2 linked regions of the Xenopus tropicalis genome follow. The protein of the gene in region 1 purifies or fractionates together with the protein of each later gene. This does not show direct contact. Links are inferred from orthologs where the notes say so. Each region holds a gene or a part of one and is shown on either strand. Other genes may lie near its edges.

Region 1 (3,926 bases):
GTGTTGGGGGTCACTGACCTCTGCACCCAAAAAAAAGTTTTGTTCTGTAAGGCTACAATTTTATTGTTATTGATACTTTTAATTACTTGTCTTTCTATTCAGGCCCTCTCCTATTCATCCTCCCCATCTTATTGTAGGAAAGAATTTAGTCAATTATATCAAACATATTTGTGCTAAATGGAGCATTATGTGTCATTGCCATCATATATGATAATATACACAAATACAGCAATGGAACTGGGCTTTAAATGGCCCTTTTCAGCATGGAGTTAATAGAGTGAGGGCAGGCACTGACAATTGTTTTCTGCTCAGAAGCTCATGATTTTACTGTAAAACAAAAACTGTAGTACCGTGTTAGCCAGTGTCAAAAATAATAATAAAAAAACAACAAAACACAAATACAAGATTATTGTAGAAATGATACCTATATTGGCTAACAATAAAAATACATTGCAAGCTTTCGGACCACAGGCTTCAGGACATGAAGGTGTTAATTCTAAAAGGGAACTTTGGATCTGAACGAGAAAGGAAGATCTATGAATTCAAATGTATGGAGTTATTTAACACATTAAGACAGGGCCTTAATTTGGGGTCAGGTTTCATGTCACACTATCTGATCTGACTGAATCCAGACCCCTGGACTATTTACAACCCACCCTAATAAACCTTAATTACTTTCACTATCTTCACAAGTTATCTCTATCTATCTGTAACTTCCTAATTTATTGCTTGTAAACACTTCTCTCTGATCTATCAGTATAAATGTTGTGCCATTTCAGTTCTCATTTGTATTTTGCCTGATGAAGGGGCCTTAGAGCTCCGAAAGCTTGCAATGTATTTTTATTGTTAGCCAATATAGGTATCATTTCTACAATAATCTTGTATTTGTGTTTTGTTGTTTTTTTATTATTATTTATGATTTTACTGTGAAAGGAATTTTTCTGAACAAACATCCAGGGATGAAGAATAGAACCCAAATGAGCGTCAGAACGTTCACTGTCCACCTAAATAGTTAGCTTTTCTTGTATCCCTTTTCTGCAGATAACTACAGGCTATATACATTAGTGTTTCACTCCCATATTAAAGCTGTGCACAGTTTAAATATAAACGGCTACATACATGGAACACACAATCTCTGTGGGACAGATATTTGTCTGAGATGATTAGTAAAATTGCAGTTCTGTACAGCAGAGGGCAGTAATGCATCTCCCTCCCAATGTCGTAAGTGTGACTTTCCCTGGATGGAATCTCCCTTCTCATCTGTTACCTTATATAAGGGGGGAGAAGGATAATGTGCATCAGTGTTAACTGAGCTCTCAGGCAACACAGGACATTCTGGGACTTACATCCAATTTCGTTACTTTACCTTGGAAGCTAAGAACCAAGTACATTCTTTTATTGAGCAACTAGAATACAGGCACCTCTAGCTTTTATTAAGGATTCCATATGGAGACTGTAAAACTATTCTCTGTTCTGGCACTGTTCATTGCAAGTAAGAGAAACCATTTCTATTTAATAATTTTGGCTGTGTGTTATAGTATGTGCAAAACTTATATGTATTAATAATCATTAGAATAAGGAGAAAGTTTGTTGCAAAAACTGAGCACATTTCATTCAACGAATTTCATGTATCTATAAATTGGCAACATATTTTGCAGGACTGTATTTAACATATAGGCTGTACAGGCTGTTCTGGCAATAACACTACTTCTGTTACACCACAAAATCTGTCCTTTTAGCCGAGATACTTCTTTGTAGGCTGCTGCAAAATTGATGTCTCCAGCTTCAGACAATAACAATTTGTTTTAGCAATCTGAAGCTATGATTTAAAAAAAAAAGAAAAAAAAGCAAATTTACAATTGTTGTGTGGCTGAATACAAAAGCCATAGAAGAGTGAGAGAATTCTTTAAATGTGGGTCTGATCATTTAATACTATACAGGGAAAGAGTACCCAGTGCGTAAATTAGTTTTCCATACTTTCCAAGAAAAGATAAGACTGCAGCCAGTGTAGCCAGCTCTATCTACATTTTTCATAAGTGGAGACCATGTGTAACGTAATGTAAGTTAAGAACGTGTAGGTATAGTTATAGTATAGTTTCCCTTTAAAGAGAGTAGGGAGTTGAGATGGCACAATTAATGAGTAACTGAATAAACAATGAAGCAGTATTTCATGTTCACACAGAATATAATATTTTTCATTGAGAATGTGAGTTGATAAGTTGCCTTACTCCTTTTTGTATTCATTTCCCATGGGGGGCAATTGCCTTGTAATAATGTTGGATATTATTTTCAGTGATTATATTTTGTGCATCATAATCAGGCAGTACATTTCCCAGCATCCACCAATAGTAAATGCTAGGTGCCAATTAAGGACTTCAAAGTGGATACGCCTGTTATAAATTATGCTTACAAGTCCTTGTTGTGTTTCTTCTCTCCCAAAGCCTCGCTGGCTGAATTTCACATGTCCTTGGAACCTGCACAGAGGGAGATTTCTCTCCAGATTGGGGAGACATTCCAGTTCATATGCGAAGCATTTGATTGTCCCAATCCCACCTTTAACTGGGCAAACCTAATGGATAAAACATTAAGTGGCAGCGTAAGCACCGAAGGCAGCAGGTCTATCCTGACCATGCAGGTCAGCCATGAGAGTGAAGGAAGTTACCGGTGTAAAGTATTCTGCAATCAAATGAAAGCAGAAAAAAGCTTCACTATCAATGTGTACTGTAAGTCATTCTATCTGTACCAGTTGTTAAATCCTTGTTCTGTGTTTAAAAGTCCCTTTATGTTTTAGAGCACAAACCTCAATGCTAAAGAAGGCACTACACACATGAGAAAAGTGTTGGTGAGAAAGCTCTCAGGCTCAGAGTTCTGTTTCACACATATTATGCTAGAGCTGCATTATTTCCATTCCTCTGTTCTATTTTGGCTGTTGTGCTTCTGTGCAACACACTATGGTGTCCAGTTAAATAAAAGTTGCTTATAAAACAAGGACAGTTTTCTGTAAGGCCTAAACCCTGGGTCAGTGTTACACTAAAGAGTATCTGGACATGAGATCAAGCAATGTAAATGTGGGGTGTTTAGCCAGCAGCCTTCCAACTGTTACATCCCTTAGCAATTCTATGAAGCCTTTCCTGTTGGCTGGGTACCAGAAAGTGTAAAGTAGCAACTGCATGTTGGTGAATGGTAGATCTAAAGGTCTCAAGCATTATCTTAGGACCTGGGGTTTTCTATGTAAGTGTTTTTTTTTACAAATACTGAAACACGGTTAAAGAGGTAGCTCGCCCTTAAGTTAACTCTTAGCATGACATAAAATGGACAAATCTATGCAACTTTTCAACTGATCTTTGTCTTTTATTTTTTCTAGCTTTTCTATTTTTTTAATTATTTGTCTTCTTTTGACTCATTCTAGCTTTCAAATGGGGAATGAGGTCACTGACCCCGGCAGACAATAAACTGTTGCTCTGTATGGGTACAATTTTAGTGTCAGTAAAGCCACCCTACTGCAGGACCCAGTTGAATGCTCATTAGGGCTGGGAGCATTATTTTTATACATCCCCATATAACTGTGAATCTTCTGAAGTAGCTTTTATTGACCCAACAAAGGCAACTCTACAAAAGCTTTTTTTTTTAAAAAAAAACTATAGTAATGTTCCCAAGTTTCAAAGATGCTTTGGAAGTTTCATGCCAGTTTTCTTTCTTTTTGGACTTTCAGTATAACACAGATTATTTAATGCTTTATTGCAGCTTTCCCAAGTGATCCTGTTCTACACATCTCATCCCTTGTGGCTGGGGTTCAGTCCAATATCACCTGTACAGTCCCCCTTGTTTACCCCTCTGAAATGCTGAGCTTGAGGTTACTGAAGGACAAGGAAACGGTGGCAGAATATGACACATCAGTGGAGATATATCAAGATGGGGAATTCAAG
Region 2 (3,826 bases), on another chromosome or scaffold:
TATATCCAATACAGACCATGCAAATATGGAGCAGCCAAGCGCTTGGGTTCTGTCAGTGAAGTCTCATCACTTAACAAATGGTTTCATCTAATTAAGCATAAAAAAGTACAGATCCCAAAAGATAATGAAGCAGAAAGTTATGCCCCATTTCCCCTATGTTAAATTTCTATGGAAGTGCCCTGGCTATTTGAATGTAGGTTTCTCCGTCACCTCTCCATCTGCTTCTGGTGCTTCTCCTCTCGTGCTTGGGCCTTCATTTGCTGCACTTCGATGGTATCGGGTTTTCGGCGGCGCATGTATAACTCATGGTTCCCCATGCAGAGGGCCAATATCCGCTTGTTTATCCGTAATCGTGGAGCATAAAACACAAAGTCCTGGCAAACAAGAACAGACTTCATGGAGCATGTGCATGAACACTACTCAAAACATCCTCCAGCTCTAGCCCTTAGCTCTGGCCCTTAGTAGAAGCCAATTTCCTCCACTTTTGGAAACGTGACAAGGCAGAGCAATGTGGCAGGGCCAGGTAGGTGGGAAGGGTTTAAACTTAGGACAAACTCCACCGACCCCCAATGAATTATATTGGGATCAATTTACCGAATTATATGAACATTTTAGCAGTGGTTATTGGGCCCCACAGTAAGATCAATAAACATATAATGCAGAGTCCCACTGGGCCCCCTATAGTTCCTAAGTCCTCACTTCCAGCAGCTTTTCAGTAAAATGGGTTTGATTCATAGTAATTGTGGTTAAAAAAACACACATCCATCCAGTCAGGGATCCCCAACCTTTTGGGTCACTTGCCACACTCAGATTTAAAAAGTGTGGGTGAGCCACACAAGCATGAAATAAGTTATTTGGGGATGCCAAATAAGGACTGCGATTGGCTATTTGGTAGCTCAATGTGTACTTCTGGCCTGCTGGAGGCTCTGCTTGGAGTAAAACGGTGTCTCTGTGCTTCCAAACTTGCCTCCAAGCCAGAAATGTGAAAATGGGCATCTCCTTTGAGGCCACTTGGAGCAACATCAAACGGGGTGGTGAGTAACATGTTGCCCCAGAGCCACTAGTTGGAGATCACAACATCATGTTCAACCTTTTGTCCAAGCTAACCATGCCTAACTGCTTGATGATCTTTCAGATAAGGAACATGGCCAAATATTTTGGTATTATGCCTTTGTGTTCATGAATGGTCCCAAATAACTGATATTGGGCCCCAATATTCCTGATGTTCGCCCTACATTTAATAGCTTATTGTAAGTTTAGTAACTGATATAGGTCTCTTTGATGGCTTTCTCTATGTGCAGTGAGTGATTAGGGACTCCTAATCTGCCTTACTCCAAGCCAAACTCATTCCATGTAACAAAACCTCAGCAGGTAAACACACAATAGCACAGGGGAGGCCAATTCACAGACTTACAGGAGCTTTCTTGTCAATTGGTTTGATTACAAATTTCTTGTCGTTGAAAGAAATGTTTCGGATTTCACTCCATGGAAAGCCAATCTTTGGTGTTAACCTGGATACAAAAGGGACACAGTCACACTTACAGTACACTCGTTTTTAACAGTATTATAGCAGAAGAATTAAAGAAAACTAGATTTTGGCACAATGTGGAAGCACTAAAGGAGCTAATCTGTGACAGAGCATTCTATATCTCTATGCAAGCCCAAGCAAATCTGGATATGTTTTTCCCAAGTACAGAAGGAAAGCTCTATGTGTACAATAAAGTAAGCGCTGATGGAAGTTGTACAGGAATAATTTGCCTTAACAATGGGTGATTTTTATGCTAACTTATAGCACTTAAATGCATGAGAACAGAATTTTCTCATTTTGGTGGCTTCCTAGAGGGTGTCATTAAAGTTACTTACGCCAGAATTGGAGTTTGGCCAGACACATTTTCTGGATCTATTAGGGAACCCGACTGGTCCAGGAGCAGAGAGGTGCAACTTACCGGTCATTCTGTTCATAGATGTTCAGGCCGAGAGCATCCACGCCAAGCCAAAGCTCTGAGCCTTTCTTGTTTTTGATGCTGAAGTAGTTGACACCATACATCTCCAAGTCCTGCGCTATCTTCAGGTATTCCAAAATAGCATCCTCCCTGCACACACAGGACAAATGGTTGAATGTAGAGGTCTTTGTCTGTCTCTAACTTCAACAGCCAATCATTTCCATGTTTGATATCCTTAAAGTATTAGTACAGCTATGCCTACATATTTCTCTAGGAGTGTTCTTTAGGCAGCTAATGCAACACATCTTTATGGGAAGAAGTATATTTGGATGAACAGTACAAAATGTTTGTTGTTTAATTTTTTCCATTTGTAACAGGTCAAGACAAAAACCCTTGCTGGGATTTGGGGTTACTGCTTATATGCCATATTAGGTATTCCCCAAAGCCTATTCTTAGAGCAATTACAGAGTAGATTTGGATGCGAGGGGACCGAGTTAGTGTTTTATAAGAGCCACAACAGTAAAACAGGTCTAGCACAATCCTTTTCACTATCTCTAATATTTTTTTCAAGGTGCTGATCCATTTAGTGGAAAGCAAAGTAACTAAACACAAAGTCAAAACCACTGACTTGAGGCCTTTACACTTTACCTTGTGCAATTCTTTTAATCCAATTGAACACACAGGCTTTGTATTTCTGCCTGCTACATCAATGCTTAGGCCATGGTTGTGGATTAGGTAGCGCTGCAAGCCACCAATAAAATGTTACCTTAGCATTCCACGGTGCTCCTCATGCCAAACATGGATTCTCTCCTCCCATTGGTCTTTTGAGAGCTTATGCTGCTCCAGAACTCTGTAAAACAGAGAGTAAATTGTCTCAGTTGCAACATAATATCCAATGTGCCATCTTAGCCAACTGTCTTGGAAAGCAAAAATCTTCCCAGTAACTTACTAAAATATGTCTACGTTAAGGTGGAGATGCCAATGCTATGAAATGACAATCAAACTGTAGTGGATGTAGTTTTTAGAATTATTCTATTTTTTATTACTGCTGCACATAGTTTTAACATGCTGCAAACTGCTAAGTCATACTAGAATCACACCAGGTAAATGCCTAACTTACACACAGATTAATACTATGCACCAAATAGAATTTGCTAAGACTCAATAGTGAGTGATTTGCGCCCACTATAGTGAGGCTAGATTAAGGGAGGATGAAGATCCTGCAGCTAGAGAATGGAGACCAAAAGTGATTCCTCCTGCTCAGGGCTGCACCCCCTGTGCCGATTTTTCTTTTTCACTTACCTCTGTGGAAGAAGCTTATCCCCTGATAAGTAGCCTGGCTTCTGGCATTCTTTGTTGTAATCTCCATACTTTGCCTGCACGGCATATGATGCAAGCAGCACTGCAGTCTCTGGGGGGCAATAAATATCATCATTTAGGATCCCCTCCTTCACTTGTAGGAAGAAAAGCCTCTGGGTGATGTCCTGGATCAGCTCCTCAGACACATCCTCGGGGTAAAACTTGGCACGGAACTTGAAGAGAAGCGGGCTATCTTTCCGAACATCCTGGGCTGTCACCTGAGCAAGACACGGACACAACCAGTCTTTATTGATTCAATGAAATACTCATTTCATTAGGGACCTTTCCTTGCCAATGCATCTGCAGATATCAGCGCTATCAGCATGGAGAAGGAAGTGCACCACCCATCACTGTGCAGACTAGCAGGAGTCCAGGGGAACAATAACAGAATTACAGAGATACCTTGTAACTCAAGCTGGGAAAGAACAAGGTGAAATAAAGCAATTCCTTAATGTACATTTCATCCACCAATCTTCTTGGTCTTATACTGCAAAACATCAAGGAATAGCTTACTGTGCTTCTAC

Evidence for each region.
Region 2: the proteins of vcam1 (region 1) and msn purify together in Homo sapiens (affinity purification with western blotting; 3 studies listed by BioGRID, with this or other methods). This does not show direct contact. The link is inferred for Xenopus tropicalis from reciprocal best matches to the Homo sapiens genes VCAM1 and MSN.

Annotation. Positions count from the first base shown.
Region 1 is NC_030680.2:108,895,666-108,899,591, forward strand, and holds the start of vcam1 (vascular cell adhesion protein 1), read left to right. Parts: upstream 1-1,287; 5' UTR 1,288-1,446; coding exon 1,447-1,492; intron 1,493-2,441; coding exon 2,442-2,723; intron 2,724-3,744; coding exon 3,745-3,926. UniProt on the Homo sapiens protein: Cell adhesion glycoprotein predominantly expressed on the surface of endothelial cells that plays an important role in immune surveillance and inflammation.
Region 2 is NC_030684.2:40,641,582-40,645,407, forward strand, and holds part of msn (moesin), read right to left. Parts: intron 3,521-3,826; coding exon 3,246-3,520; intron 2,794-3,245; coding exon 2,710-2,793; intron 2,094-2,709; coding exon 1,947-2,093; intron 1,512-1,946; coding exon 1,415-1,511; intron 375-1,414; coding exon 211-374; intron 1-210. UniProt on the Homo sapiens protein: Ezrin-radixin-moesin (ERM) family protein that connects the actin cytoskeleton to the plasma membrane and thereby regulates the structure and function of specific domains of the cell cortex.